3 linked regions of the Daphnia pulex genome follow. The protein of the gene in region 2 binds, or shares a complex with, the protein of the main gene of each other region. Links are inferred from orthologs where the notes say so. Each region holds a gene or a part of one and is shown on either strand. Other genes may lie near its edges.

The links.
Region 1: syntaxin-5-like (region 2) and vesicle transport through interaction with t-SNAREs homolog 1B-like share a complex: the UniProt entries of both Homo sapiens proteins name them as parts of the SNARE complex. The link is inferred for Daphnia pulex from reciprocal best matches to the Homo sapiens genes STX5 and VTI1B.
Region 3: syntaxin-5-like (region 2) and syntaxin-18-like share a complex: the UniProt entries of both Homo sapiens proteins name them as parts of the SNARE complex. The link is inferred for Daphnia pulex from reciprocal best matches to the Homo sapiens genes STX5 and STX18.

What each region holds. Positions count from the first base shown.
Region 1 is NC_060018.1:4,117,450-4,121,377, reverse strand, and holds vesicle transport through interaction with t-SNAREs homolog 1B-like, read right to left. Parts: upstream 2,084-3,928; 5' UTR 1,970-2,083; coding exon 1,746-1,969; intron 1,659-1,745; coding exon 1,196-1,658; 3' UTR 1,086-1,195; downstream 1-1,085. Other genes in the region: homer protein homolog 2-like, read right to left, coding at 870-874; uncharacterized protein LOC124189006, read right to left, coding at 2,247-2,747, 3,036-3,195, 3,363-3,733, 3,896-3,928. UniProt on the Homo sapiens protein: V-SNARE that mediates vesicle transport pathways through interactions with t-SNAREs on the target membrane. These interactions are proposed to mediate aspects of the specificity of vesicle trafficking and to promote fusion of the lipid bilayers.
Region 2 is NC_060017.1:4,341,014-4,345,928, forward strand, and holds syntaxin-5-like, read left to right. Parts: upstream 1-1,792; 5' UTR 1,793-1,946; coding exon 1,947-2,389; intron 2,390-2,455; coding exon 2,456-2,511; intron 2,512-2,580; coding exon 2,581-2,822; intron 2,823-2,909; coding exon 2,910-3,280; intron 3,281-3,348; coding exon 3,349-3,508; 3' UTR 3,509-3,746; downstream 3,747-4,915. Other genes in the region: proteoglycan 4-like, read left to right, coding at 345-359, 650-1,027; leucine-rich PPR motif-containing protein, mitochondrial-like, read left to right, coding at 4,911-4,915. UniProt on the Homo sapiens protein: Mediates endoplasmic reticulum to Golgi transport.
Region 3 is NC_060027.1:1,471,408-1,476,629, forward strand, and holds the start of syntaxin-18-like, read right to left. Parts: upstream 3,150-5,222; 5' UTR 3,117-3,149; intron 2,407-3,116; exon of another isoform or gene 2,280-2,406; intron 2,205-2,279; exon of another isoform or gene 2,150-2,204; coding exon of another isoform or gene 2,119-2,149; intron 2,058-2,118; coding exon of another isoform or gene 1,846-2,057; intron 1,733-1,845; coding exon of another isoform or gene 1,568-1,732; intron 1,408-1,567; coding exon of another isoform or gene 1,033-1,407; intron 921-1,032; coding exon of another isoform or gene 802-920; intron 707-801; coding exon of another isoform or gene 541-706; intron 450-540; coding exon of another isoform or gene 336-449; intron 256-335; coding exon of another isoform or gene 88-255; exon of another isoform or gene 1-87. Other genes in the region: F-box-like/WD repeat-containing protein TBL1X, read right to left, coding at 88-255, 336-449, 541-706, 802-920, 1,033-1,407, 1,568-1,732, 1,846-2,057, 2,119-2,149. UniProt on the Homo sapiens protein: Syntaxin that may be involved in targeting and fusion of Golgi-derived retrograde transport vesicles with the ER.

The sequences.
Region 1 (3,928 bases), on a different chromosome or scaffold from region 2:
ACTCGACACGCGATATCTTACGTTGTAGTGAGCAAACGAAAAAAAAGGAGAATACTGTAGGTACGGATGAAAGTTAACATGACGAGAATAGCATTAACTAATAAATACCATGAAAAATAAGGGAAAGGGTTCGAAGTAGCCATCTAGGAATTAGACACAGGACACGCAGCATCGATTTCTTACAACTGAATACACAAAGTCCACAAATTTCTATTTCCCATTATCATTGTTGAATGTTTGTGCTTTTGGAATTGTCTGAATGGGGCTTGCATGTTTCAAAGTAAATCAATATTGTGTGACTAAAATCCCACTAACAGTGGGCCTAGCATCCTAGCAATATCAAGAGTTTTCTGGCTGGATGAAATATTACTTTGATGTATCACCTAAAGCAACAATCTATTGCTTGAGTTGAGAATAACATTTCGCAACAATCCTTCTGGGCTGTAGCTAGAGGCACAAGTCATTCAGCTTCGAAGTTTAGCTCAATACAACTTTAGAATTTAGTACAGGTTGAAAACTTGGATGCAGCTTAGCTTATTAGTTTGAAAATATGAATGCTATATTTACAGCCAAGATATTAATAAAATCTTTTTTAACATTTGAATGACGGGACACTTCAGTGAGTCTGTGACTTCAATATTGATTTACACTTTAGCTTAATGGTATTTATACACCCTAATGGAAAATTCTTATTTGTCTAATTCCATAGTCCAAAATACAAATATTTGAAACATATACCCTTTTAATTACAGTAAATTTGAATTCAGACTTGACAGTGGTGCTCAGCATCCAGCTGTTGCTACGTGGATATATGGTACGAATCGATTTTTCATTTAAGACTATACAGAATCAATAAATGCACAACTTACCCCATTTTAACTGTCGATGTCGAAGCACGAACAACTTAGAAAAATCTCAGATTTCGTTGGCAAACGCAAAAACTTTAAATACACGTATAGCACGCCATGACACAGGAAGAGCTTCTGTCAAATGGAACTGAAAGCCAGAGGTTGGGTTCGTAACTCCGTCTGCGTACGAAGGCCGCTAGGAAATCCTTTGCGCACGCAAGGGGAAAAAAATACTGGTCGCTATGCGCATGATTATATTTTTGTATCGGCTTTTACACAAATTCAAGGCACTAACACTATTAGTTACATTTTTGATGAGGTATGTTAAGAATTTGAGGACAATAATTTCAAGAAAAAAATTTATAATAAACTAAACCTGTCAAAATGCATATCTCCAACAGAATGATGACAATTAGGACAAGCTTATTAGTCATAGCAACACGAGACATTGACTTAAGGATTCTTCTACTTCTTCCCAGCTCTGCATCCGTTTCAGTCAATCTATCTCTTGTACGAACAAGCACTTCTCTTTGTTGACTTAATTCTTGAATAACTCCAGTGCCAATCTCTTCACTTTCTAAAGCAACCTGAGTAGTTCTGTAGAGGCTCTGTGATGTTCTTTCCAGAACTGCAGTTCCTTGGCGAACAGTTGTTTGAAGAGCATTATCAATGCCCCGGTTTTGGCTAAATGCAGCAGTGGATTGGTTTTCCAACAGTTTTCCTCTTGATGAGGCCAGAGACATTTCTGATTGCTTGGAAGAATTGATCAATAGAGCAAGTTTGGAACAGGTGTCCTGATGTCTTCGTACTCTGAAGTTGGATGATAAAAAAAACATTAGTTGAAATTTTACTACATGTATTGTTTGCTGTGTAAACTTAAGACATTCACATTTTTACCTGCCAATCATGTCCATCCTAAAAGAGCCAGGAGCTGCTCTAGCTTCAGCTTCCATTTCAAATATTGCTTGTTTAGCTTCATCTAGTCCTCTTTCGACATCGGCAATAACTTGCTTTTTTTCTTCGCCAAAACATTGTTCTAGCTTACCGGAACACTTTCTTTGCAGAATTTCGAACAAAACTTGTACATCTTCATCCAGAGTTTCAAATTTCTCTGAGCTCATTTCTGTTTCTTGTAGCACAATTCTGAACCTATTTGAGCACTACATACGATACCTTGCTATCAGGACGAAGACAAGGAATGTATTGTAGACTTGACGTATAAAACACCATCTGACAAAACATTGAAGACAGCGCCACAAACGGCGAGAATTAGCATTTCCATGACATTTACATTTAATAGCTAATTATTAAGATAAATTAAACACATTTCAGCCTGCAGAAGGTTTATTCAGATGTCACAGAAAAAACGTCATACAGGCACAGGTTCAATGATGTCACTCATTCCTTCTTATTTTTCTTCCCCTTTGCTTTCTTGGCTTTCGATCCCTTATCAGCAGCTGATTCGGGAACAGAAGCTTCTTCTAATGGGATAGCTTCAACGGGAGCAGCAAGAACCTTTTCCAACGGCTTCACTTCCGGGACAGCAATCGGTGTTGGGGCAGGAACGACTGGTGGCGATTTTCCTTTTACAGGAGTAGCGACTGGTGTTACCACCTTAACTACAGGTTCAGGGATGGTAACGATTGGCGGAGATGGTTCCTTAGCTGGAGCTAGGGCAGTCTTCACCTCAACAACGGACGCGGGTGTTACATCCATCGGTTCTACTTGCAAATCCTTTGCAGCCGTCTTGGATTTCTTGCTTTTCTTTGTTTCTGGTGGTGTTGGCTTAGGGGTTTCAACAGGAGGAGGTTGAGTTGGTTTGACATCTTGGACCGGTGCTTGAACGGGCGCTTCTTCTTTCGGCTTTTCAACAGGTAAATTTGGTACGGGTACTACTGACTGTAGAATGGATATACAAATTAGAACTTGGACTATTTTCCAAATCAGATTCTCACTACGATGGACAACTCACCAAAAACATCTGTTGATTAGCTCAATAAACCATGCTGTGTGCGCTCACTCGCAGGCTAGGCAGCTACCTTCTTGGTAGCACTCGCCTGTACATGTTAAACAATGTGGCATGCATTAAGTTACGTTCACATGCGGTAATACAATTTTAACAATTCAAACAGAAATCAAACGAAAAACTATCTAAGACATACAAACATTCACAGAAAACAAAATTACCTCGCGCTTCTTCTCGAGCAAAGCAGTCTTGCTCTTCTTCCGGGCCTCAGCAACAGCAGCGGCAGACTTCTTAATCACGGCGGAGTACGGGTTCAACTTCATCAATGCTCTCATGTTGGTAAGAGGATTGCGCTTAACAGATGCACGACGGATCATCTTCCTGTAATTTAAATTGTATCGATTAGTCATCTTTGCACCAGACAGTATCACTTGAATGATAAACTGCGTTCAGATTAATTTGCTAATCACAAAGATTCATAACCCAATGCTCTAAATGTGGTTTTCATCATTAATTAATCAATAATAAAGATTAAAAAGAAAGCTTGCCTTGGTCGTCTGATAACCTTCTGGATTTCATCAGACTTCAACAAACGAGACAAATCTGTTCCGGTCATGATGGGCTGAGGCAAGTTGTAGTTGCTCTTCAGCTTAGACTTCTGACGCCAAGTACCGTAGAGGGCGTTCAAGCGTTGGAAAGCAGACTCGGTCCAGATGCAGAAACGGCCAACATGACCACCAGGAGCAAGCTTCATGAGGTTCAGTTTGTTTACTGAAATCATAGAAACTCCGGGGATGTTACGGAAAGCCTTGGTCAAACCCTGATCTCTGCCATAGATGACCAGTGGACCCAATTTGCTGGTACGGCGACGGTTGCGCATCTTACCCTTACCTGCGCGGAAACGCCTGGTCTTGTAAACCTGTAAGAAATCAGATTAATTAGACGGTGTTCACACATAAAATCATTCATGACTCAGATTTTGTTCAGAGCTCTAAGGTGAAATCATTTACTCATAAACACAGACCAAGAAGCAACTCATCATTTTCCCGTGATAATTATACATAAATATCTAGAAACAAACCTTCTGGACATCAGTCCATGCGCGAAGACGGCG
Region 2 (4,915 bases):
AGCCGCGGAGTTGTTAAACCGGAAAAGCTTGTCCGCTAGAAAACGAATGAATAGTCACGCAGCATTGCAGTACAAGAACAATTCTTATGGCAAAGATAGATGATCCTCCTACGTGGTTCGGACCACCGAAGGAAATATCCTTTCTGAACAAGAAGGACTGAAACTATCCGCCAATACAACATAAAAATGTTAGAAGTGAAGAAGGAAGTGCAAAAAAAAAAAAAAAAATGGGCATCCGCGGCTATATTAATGCGTGACTCGGTAATTCCTGATCAAGTAACCAGTAATCTTCGTTCGAGAAAACAACTCCTTTTCATCGGCAGCTAGAAGAAAAATTCAACACAATGAAGTACTTATTGGTATGATCACTGTTACATTTACTTTGTATCTGTTACACCTGTATTATATTTAGACATAGGCCGTAGAATCAATTTAAATGGAATTCATTTGGGATGTAGTGCAGCGATTTATTGAAATAGTATTTCATGTATTCTATTTCCTGAATGATTTTTAAAAATTCGTATTTAAAGCCTTGCCTCTAAGCTACCAAGCGGCCAAAAGCACGGCGAAAGTGATTTTACCAATAACAAATTATGACTGTGTATACTCTTTGATAAATATTTAATGAAAATGCGTTTGATTTCAATAGGTGAAGATTTTTATTGTGGTAGCCATCATTTCGCTGGCTAATTCCCAGCAGAGTGCTTCAAAAACAACGCCCAAAACTGTTAAACAGGTATCGACGACGGCTAAGCCCATGGCTGGTGCTGCTACGACTGTTAAGCGTTCATCGACAACGGTTAAGCGCGCAGGAACAACAGCTAAACCGAGAACAACTACTGTCAAGCGGGCAGGAACAACAGCTAAACCGAGAACCACTACTGTTAGGCGTGGACCTGCACCCACAACTGCCAAGCGCGCATCTACAACACCTAGACCTAGGACCACTACTGTCAAGCGCGCACCTACAACTGCTAAGCGCGCGTCCACTACGGTTAAGCGCACAGCCACGACCAAGAAAGTTTAAATGATTCAATTCCGGCCATCATTTTCTTTGTTGTTTCTTCAATCTTTACATATCTATAGGCCCACAGTTAAACATTCCATCGTTGTTTCGAATATGAGCAGGCCGTCTCTTTCTGAGTAATACGACTCAATTTGCTATTCTTATTTAATTGGCAGTGATATTTAGTAAATATAATATGCAGAAATCGTTTGTTATCAATATTATTTCATTTACGATTTTATTTCCGTACAACCAAATACTATTTGCTTGTGTTTTATAGGGATTTGAAGATTTACGTAAGCTTTGGCAATCAAGCGTAAATCTTGAGACGGTTGTTAAAAATTTTTGGAAAGGAAATAAAATAAAATTAACAGAAATGCTTTACAAATTTATATGTAAAAAAAAATGTTTGGGAACTTCTGTGTTCAACAGTAGAATTACACATGAGTACACTTTTCTAAGTGTGCATTATAATATTGTTTTGGTCTTCCCTCGCTAGCAATGAAAACGGCTTTTCCTAAATAAAAAAAAATAAATTGAGATGAAAACATAATTTTGATTGGTATGACGCGGGAACGATGGAGAACCTAGTACGTAAGTCATACTTCTCTTAGGAGGAATTTGCGACATTTAAAGCAAACCAACATTGTAGAAAGATAAAGTCTATACATAGTAATTAATAATAGTAATTGATAAAGCTGGATAAAGGTTAAAATAAAATGATAAATATTGAACTTTATACAGTAGATAATTAACGTTGGCAACGTTGGGAATTACGGCTAATGTTTGGTATTTTTTCGTCTGCACACACTCTGCAGACAACCCTTAATATGACGTGGCATTCGGTATAGTTTCTTGTCGCAAAATATCTGGCGTTCCCGATTATTTGGATTTCAAAGACGAAAACGGATGAATTTTTCGAGAGATAAATTTTTGACGGATGATTACTCGAAGACGCCGGCAAGGCTCTGAATCGGAGCATCAGCCGCTTGCTGAAACCCAACTGCAAAACCAAGTCCTGAAAGGCTCTTCATCCGTTTTACTGTGGTCGGGAGAAAGTCCTCAACAGCAGCCATCCTTTTTCATTGTTCCGCAGGGTGAAATAGGTGCATTTGTTGCACCAAATTATTCAACAGATAAATTTGTAGATGTTCAAGCAAAAACCAACAGCGCTGACATGATGGCCCTAGCATCTAATTCGAGTTCATCAGTTCTGTCTTCCACCAATGCTTCTTCACGTGATCGGACTGCAGAGTTTCTCTCTGCAGTCAGAAGCTTCCAGAGTAGGCCAGTTAACGGAGTAGTTGGGAGGCCGAGTCAATCACATCCATCTAAGAATACAGATCAACATCAACAGTACTCTGAATTCATGAAAGTGGCAAAGTAAGTTGTCGACTTTTAAGAAAATATTTGCAACTATTGAAAATATTCAAATTTTTTTCTGTACAGAGTTATTAGTAAGGATTTGAGCAACACATATGCAAAACTGGAAAAACTAACTCTATGTAATTAGCTTTGTTTTTAATTTCTACTGTTCAACCAATCATTTCATGGTTTCACATTTATGCTTGCAGTGGCGAAAAAACGAACGCTATTTGATGATCGTCCTCAAGAGATCCAAGAACTGACTTACATCATCCGTGAAGATATCACAAATCTGAACAAACAGATTGCTCATCTGCAAGGATTCATGAAAAAGCAACAGAATCAACAACAAAATACCAAGGCCCATTCAGCAAATGTCGTTGTAGCTCTTCAGTCGAAGCTAGCCAATATGTCTTCTGAATTCAAACAAGTCCTTGAAGTCCGCACTGAGGTACACGCCTTTCCTAGTTTAAAAAATAACTACTAGATTTTATTATCTAGGATATTCAGTAAAATGAATGTTTTGAAAATATTTTAGAATCTTAAAGCCCAGAGAAGCCGTCGAGAACAGTTTTCTGGCTCCGTCCCAGTCGTTTCTGATTTACCGGCTGCAGCCTTGACAGGAGGACCGTTTGGATCCTCTCAAAATGGTTCTAAAGGATCTGTTCTACTCCGTGATGCTGCCTATCAAGCCCATGGAGGAGAAGCAGTAGCTATCGACATGGGTGCCGCTGACAACAGAACCAACAGGAATCAAATTCAGCAGCAAGTGTTTGCCGACGAAACAGAATCTTACCTGCAAAGTCGTTCTGACGCAGTCCAAAGTATAGAATCCACTATCGTGGAGTTGGGCGGAATTTTCCAGCAACTGGCTCTCATGGTTCGCGAACAAGAAGAAATGGTTCAGCGGTAATAATATTAATTATTTTAGAATATGTTATAACAAAGAATTTATGGAAATATTTTTCTTCGTGTAGGATTGACTCGAATGTCGACGATGCCCAACTTAATGTGGAAGCCGCTCATGACGAACTCTTGCGTTACTTTCGTTCCGTCTCTTCTAATAGGTGGCTGATGCTAAAAGTCTTTGGGGTTGTCCTTGTGTTTGTTGTAATATTCGCCATCTTTTTTGCTTGAAAATTATCTAAAGTACGATTTCCAATTCATTTACCAATACAATTTTCGATCCTAATGAATTTAAAACTCACGGTTCGTTTCTCCATTGTGCTTGATTAACGAATGTAGATGTGCCCTCTGACGAAAATGTTGCCCAGCAGACTTCTGGTGATTTTCATGATGAAGTTATAAACTGTGATGTATTAAGAATAAAATTCAATAGTAAAATATCAGAAGAATAAATAAATTCTAATCTATATTTGACATCTTCAATATTATAGCTAGCCAGCTAGTATTTTTTTAAATTGCATTCCAATTCCATTCATTTCCGTCAGCTGTATTTTGAAAGGTTGTTTAGAATCACCCTCTGATCTAAAAAAATACCGCAACAATTTTCCCAAAGTTTAGTACTAGCCCGCAGTTCTGAATCTTCGAGTGTGTGCTCTCTTACTCCGAAGAGGGGCGTCCCTAAACTGCGAAAGCGAAACGCGAAACGCGAAACGCCTAAAATGCGAAACAGCTGTGCGAAACGGACCCAAAAGTTGAGACCCTGTTTCGCATTTTAGTCTTTGGGTCCGTACTAAACTGCGAAATCGGTGTGTGCGAAACGTCGCAGTGTAAACGTCTTGGTAGCAGACGACAATGGACGCCGTCAACAAACAAATTGTTAAGAGTTTCAAATTTTCGAGTTTCGCGCACCTTATGGCTGGTCTATTTGTGTGTTGACCATGAATACGAAATACCTTGAATGCAATATGTAATAGGTGTTTTAATTAGAAGATTGGTATAAAAAAATTAATGGAACTTCTCGTTTCCATACTGTATCAGTATCAATCAGATTAACATTCTTAATTTTAAGGAAAGTTTTAGCTGATTAAATTTTAGCTTGATTTGGAACATGGTAGCTTTGACTTTTAGCTTGATATAAGGCACTCATACTGTTATGGCCGATTCTTTCTTTGTGCACGTACCTACTGGTTGATTTAAATTATTTAATGTAATCCGATGTAATCCCTGGGCCATTACCTAATATTTTATTATTTAAAAATATCACCATAACGTGCTGCTCTATGTCTTTCATTAGTTTAATAATCGTAAAATGCGCATCAAAACATACAGGGGTAGTGGCGAAGAAATCGAATTTGATTGCCCCCCTTCCTCCTTTAATGCCTCATCATAGCAGACAATGAAAAATGGCGGCAATTTCCGTCAATTTGGACCTCTGTGCCTCTGTGGAGAATAGGAAAACTTTTTGTTTCGCAAGATGTTTCGCTCTTTAGTATGCCCTCCGGCATTTGGTCCCGCGAAACGGTCCCAAAATTTTGGTCCGTTTCGCACAGCTTTTCCGCATTTTAGGCGTTTCGCGTTTCGCGTTTCGCTTTCGCAGTTTAGGGACGCCCTCCGAAGAGTGGAAAACTGAAAAATGGC
Region 3 (5,222 bases), on a different chromosome or scaffold from region 2:
TTCAGATACATGCCATAGAGGGGGACTGCTAACAGAAGAATTTGTTGATTACATTCAATCTTTTGCCTTGGAAAATTCGATCAAAACTTATTCATTTTGATTGCAAACAAGTTTGTGTTGGGGCCAGTGTGAACGCTGACAATCCTTGCTACAATAGAAGATTGAATTGCAGCGAGCGCAACGCTTTAGATTTTGAGACATTTTCTTGCAGCCAGCACAGCAGTTTTCGGCAACGAAGTATTCAATCACTTTAAACTGTTTGAATCACAGAGATGAGAAGTTATTTATTAACATTAATTTGTTGAAATTTGGATGAATGAAACGCATTATTTTACCTGTCTCTGTCCTGTTCTCTCTGAAATTGCTAGCTTGCAACTGGCCGCGTCCCATGTCATCATGTATGGATACATATACTCTGATGAGGGTATAATGTATATGCTCTTCCAACTCTGAAAATTCATTTAAAAAAGAAATTGCGGGAAAAGAATGTACGTGAGTCGCGTTTGATCCAACTAAGAATTTCTATCAAAAATATTTTACCTTTGTAGACCAAATAATCACTTTCTTGTAATAGTCTGTTGTTGCGAGATAGCGTCCGTCAGGTGAAAGTATTAATTGATGGATCTGATCATGTCCTGTAAGTTTTCGTGTCTGAATTTCATGATCAAATGGATACCAAATTACAACGTTTCCACTTTCTAATCCGCTGAATAAAAGCCAATTAAAAAGCTGTGGTTATTAGAATGTCAATTTAAACTTGCATCTTTTAAAACTTGATTAAAATAATCTAGGCAGTCTAACCATGCAATAAAAGTTTTTGTCGTCATCTCTTCTTTGATGCCAGAATTCCATACCAAATTTCTGCAATTGGAATCGACATCCAACACAAGAATAGGATCTTTACTGCCCAATGACCAAATCTGCAATTAAAATTGTTTAAATATTGACTCATTTAAATTTAAAAACTTAGACAATAATAATTGTCTATCGACTATTAAAATCCAATAAATATAACGTATGTAGTTCTAATACCTTGACTCGAAAGTCTGTTCCACCTGAAGCCAAAAGTTCAAATTCTTTGTTAATGGCGATACTCGATACGAAAGTTCGTGTTTGGCCCTGGTAGTTCATAAGCGAAAAATTGTCCCTGGAATTCATAAGCGAAAAATGGTGAACAGCTTTGTCATGATCACCCAGATCGTGACGGATTTTCTGGACCATTCGGCTTTTCATTTGACTGTTATTCAATTCTATTTCGTGAATTTCAAACGTTCCATCGTCGTAACCAAAGGCGAGTTGATTGTGCGAGTTCCAGGCCAGGGTCTGACAGTTCCATTTTGATTTGATGGTGTGGGTGAGGAGGTTTTCAGCTGCTGAATTGGCAATCATCACCTCGTTTGTGTCCAACTTGAGATACAATTTTAAAACTTAAAATTTCTGGTGAACAATAAATTAATGTGAATGTTTCTCGTGTACACCGACTTTTAATTTGAAATTCTCCCTTCCCGCATTACTTAAACAAACTACTAAGTTAGCACATGAATATTGTTTTTTTTTTTTCACTTACCGCACTGTTATAACTAGCCAACATGTCCCGGTTAAATGGATGCCAAAAAATTAACGGGAAATTCGATCGTCCATTTCTTCGGAATGTTTGTTTGCCACAGCCTGGATAAGACACAATAATGACAGTCCCATTATCGGAGCCAGCAGCTACTTTAGTTCCATTGACCTTTACGCCAAACAGAAAAACAAAAATAGAAACTTAGGATTAACACTGTAACATTTAGCACACGATTTTGATGGGGTGAAACACGGACACAATTATTTGATTCACAGACTTACGTTCCATTGGACGGATAAAATTGTCCTTTCGTATCGGCTGTATACGGGTTCAATCTCCCAATTCTCAAACGGTGTGGAGTGATTAGTTCCCCGAAGGAAAACTAATCCTCCTTGAACTAAGCCGCACGCCAGAACAGGATCGATGGGGTGGAAACTGGAACTTCTCACATCTAGTTTACTCGTAATTGAGAACTCAACTGGTTTGAAAAAACCTGGATGGGACATCAGACATTGATTAAAAACGATGGACAAGTTTATAAATATTTGTCTTACCTTTCCCTGGTGAGTTTACAGCATCTGTCATTTTCTCTCTCCTTAGTGACGAACGGAAGTGTAAAACCACGTTTAGAAGTAGCGAACTAAAATGAACGAAACATTATTTTACAGCGTTAAAGCTGGAATATCCATAGAGTTTAGAATCTTAAAAATTTCACCGATGCGCAGATAGATGAGTAATATTTAAAGAGACTGGCAGCACGATGCCTCGAAGAATGTTGAAACTGAAGTGGCAATTAAAGAAGATGGAACTGGAAAAGTAAAACTGAAAAACAAAAGAGAAACGTTCAAGGGGGTAAGAAGGGGGTGGATTTGAACGGGGTCGTAGGAAAATTTACCTTGACTTTTTCTGTCTGGAATCTTTTTTGTTTTTCAAACTTGTCTCGAGGTTGCTAAAATAGCTGTAATTTTCGATACGCAACTGCATTTTGACTAATCCTTTGACAAAAATCTTTTCTCACTCCCCTTACCTCACACCATACGACTTTCCTCTCCACACCCACTATATTTTTTTTACCCACTGAAATAACCCCAAAAGAAAGTAAACTTGAAAAACTCGTGTCTTTTCATTTTCCCGACAACTTAATTGATTTCAATTATCTTTCAACAACCAATGATACATTATAACAACTTTCTCAGAGTCCATTGATAGGCATCTCTTTTGCCGATATCACGGTATTTTGTTTATCTAATCCGTTCACTCACATCACGAGCGTGATTGCTTTTCAATTCTAGCTGTCTAAAACTCTTTCAACTTGGCCACATTTGAGACAATCTCTTTGGCTTTCGTTTGGAATTTTGAAAAATGTTTGGATGGTCGTGGGAAAATGCAATTTGGGTCTTCAGTTTTCAGCTAGCTTTATTGCGTGTCCGGACCGTCTTGATGGAGACCTTGAACAGGGACGTGATATCCATCATGATCGGTGTTTCCAACAACAAATATTTTGATTTGAATAAGTAATGTATATTCTTTATAATTTATTTGTTTAACTTACCGTTTGACAATGATTTTTGAGCAAAAATCTGCCAACACTCAACAGCCGTTCTATTTTTCAAACGTCCTCGTCGTCAGTTTGTTGTGGAACTTAGTCCGCCATCTACCAGTCGTTTGCCAAGTTCGTTGCAATGTATTTTTTTCTTTGGCGCCATTCCCATGAACGACGAGCTATTCGTCTTCGAGAGCACACCATTACTGCCATTACTTCACAAGTTCACTGAACAGTGAACAATGTTCGAAAGTGTGCATCCATCGTCTTCATTTGTGTTGAGCAGCGTGATATTACTTTAAAGATTGTACTGTTCATTGTGATTCCTTTGCAAAATCTGTGACCAACATTTTCGGTGGTGAATTGAATCTGCACCAGGCTGGAAGTGACACACATGCTGATGAGGTAAACATCCCTTTGTCTGCAGTATTTGTACGAAAAATATGGCGCCTGACTTATTCTAGAATTGTAACGTGTTGGGTACTTGATGAAAGGTAACTATTTGTGAACTGTTTCACTAAATGACAATATCAACTATGGCACGAAAGGATTGTAGGAGGGTTTTGCACCATGCAGTGCCAGTCAGTTTATATCTTTTTTCGACAGACATCAGAATATGCATCCCATGAGGTTTCTTTTCATGGTGAGTCTACATTGCTTCCTCGTGAAAGTTTATTTTATTATTTTTACGTTGTTGGTGGATATTACTTTTGTTGTTTGTTTTATTTGAGCAGGTTTAGTTTGAGAGTTTTGGGCTTGGGCACCGGTGGTGAAACCCTGATGGTGGTAAAAGGTGTCATGATCTGTTCCCAGTTCTAAACACCTTGCGAGAAATTTAAGACATCCAGTCTTTCACTCGTTTTACCTTCAAATTTACCTTGGTGGACCAGATAACCAATTTTCCTTCATAGCCGGTCGATGCCAGAAAGCGTCTGTTTGGCGAAAATAAGATTTTATGCAAATCGTGGGAATGTCAATCGAAAAACAAACTTGGTTGTATTTCCTTTTCCGTTGGCGACCAAACAAAAATTGATCCGTTATCTAACCCTCTGAAAAAAGATCAGAAAAAGGCGATTGAGCTCTTACGCTTAATTAAATAATCGATTTGGGACACTGGGATATTAGATGAATGAAATCTGACCCGACTAAAAAAGGTTTTTCCTTCGCTCTTTGCACGATTACGCTGGATGGGAATTGGACTCCAAATTTATTCGCAACAAGAAGAACTGGATTCTATCATGCGTATGGGATATTGGGATCCTCTCTTTCCAATTACCAATTCTGCGTTCAATTATTTGAAAGTGAAGGAGTTAAACATTCAATTCTAAATAACCATTTAAATTCTGGGACACACCTTGATCCAAATATCGTCTGAACTGGTGACCAACAGTTTTAATTCTTCGTTCCAGACAATACTCGATACATTATATCCAAAATCTCCTTCTGACAAACTGTATGGGTCTTACGAGTGAGAGTCGGGCACTCACCAAACGTTTCTTGAATAGTTTGCTAGTTGACGTATCGTTTAGTTCTATTTCGTTTAATATCAGCCGTTTCCTAATCATAGCTACAAATGAGCGAATCCAATTCAACCCAGACTTAAATGGGTATTCGGTTTATTATGTTAATCTCTCAAGGAAGTTTTGAAACATGCTTATTAAACTATTATTTTATTTTGACAGAACTTCATCCAGGCGTCATCACCGGAATGACGAAATTCTTGGCATTCGTCACTCCAGTCGTTGGATGGATGGATTACCTTCTAGACCCCAATACTTAACCGGATTCGCTTTTAATGTAAGTCACCCTCACCCACATTTAAACATCTATTTTCTTGTTGTGTTGCAACTATAGAGAATCTTTTCGTTGAAAAGAAAGAGTATTCGAAAAGTTTTCGAATACTGTTTTTGAAGTAATTGCGTTTCTTAATGACAGGCATTTTAAAACAGGAAAAGCTTTTCCTATCTTTGTTTGAAATCTCTTTTCCTTGTTCTTTTGGCTATTGGGCCGGCTGAACACGATAAAGTTATTTACGGAATTTCATTTTGACTCTTCCGTTGAAGTCCTTTTTGTCAGGTTTTTTCAGAACTATTTTAGTTTTCCCGATAAACTTCT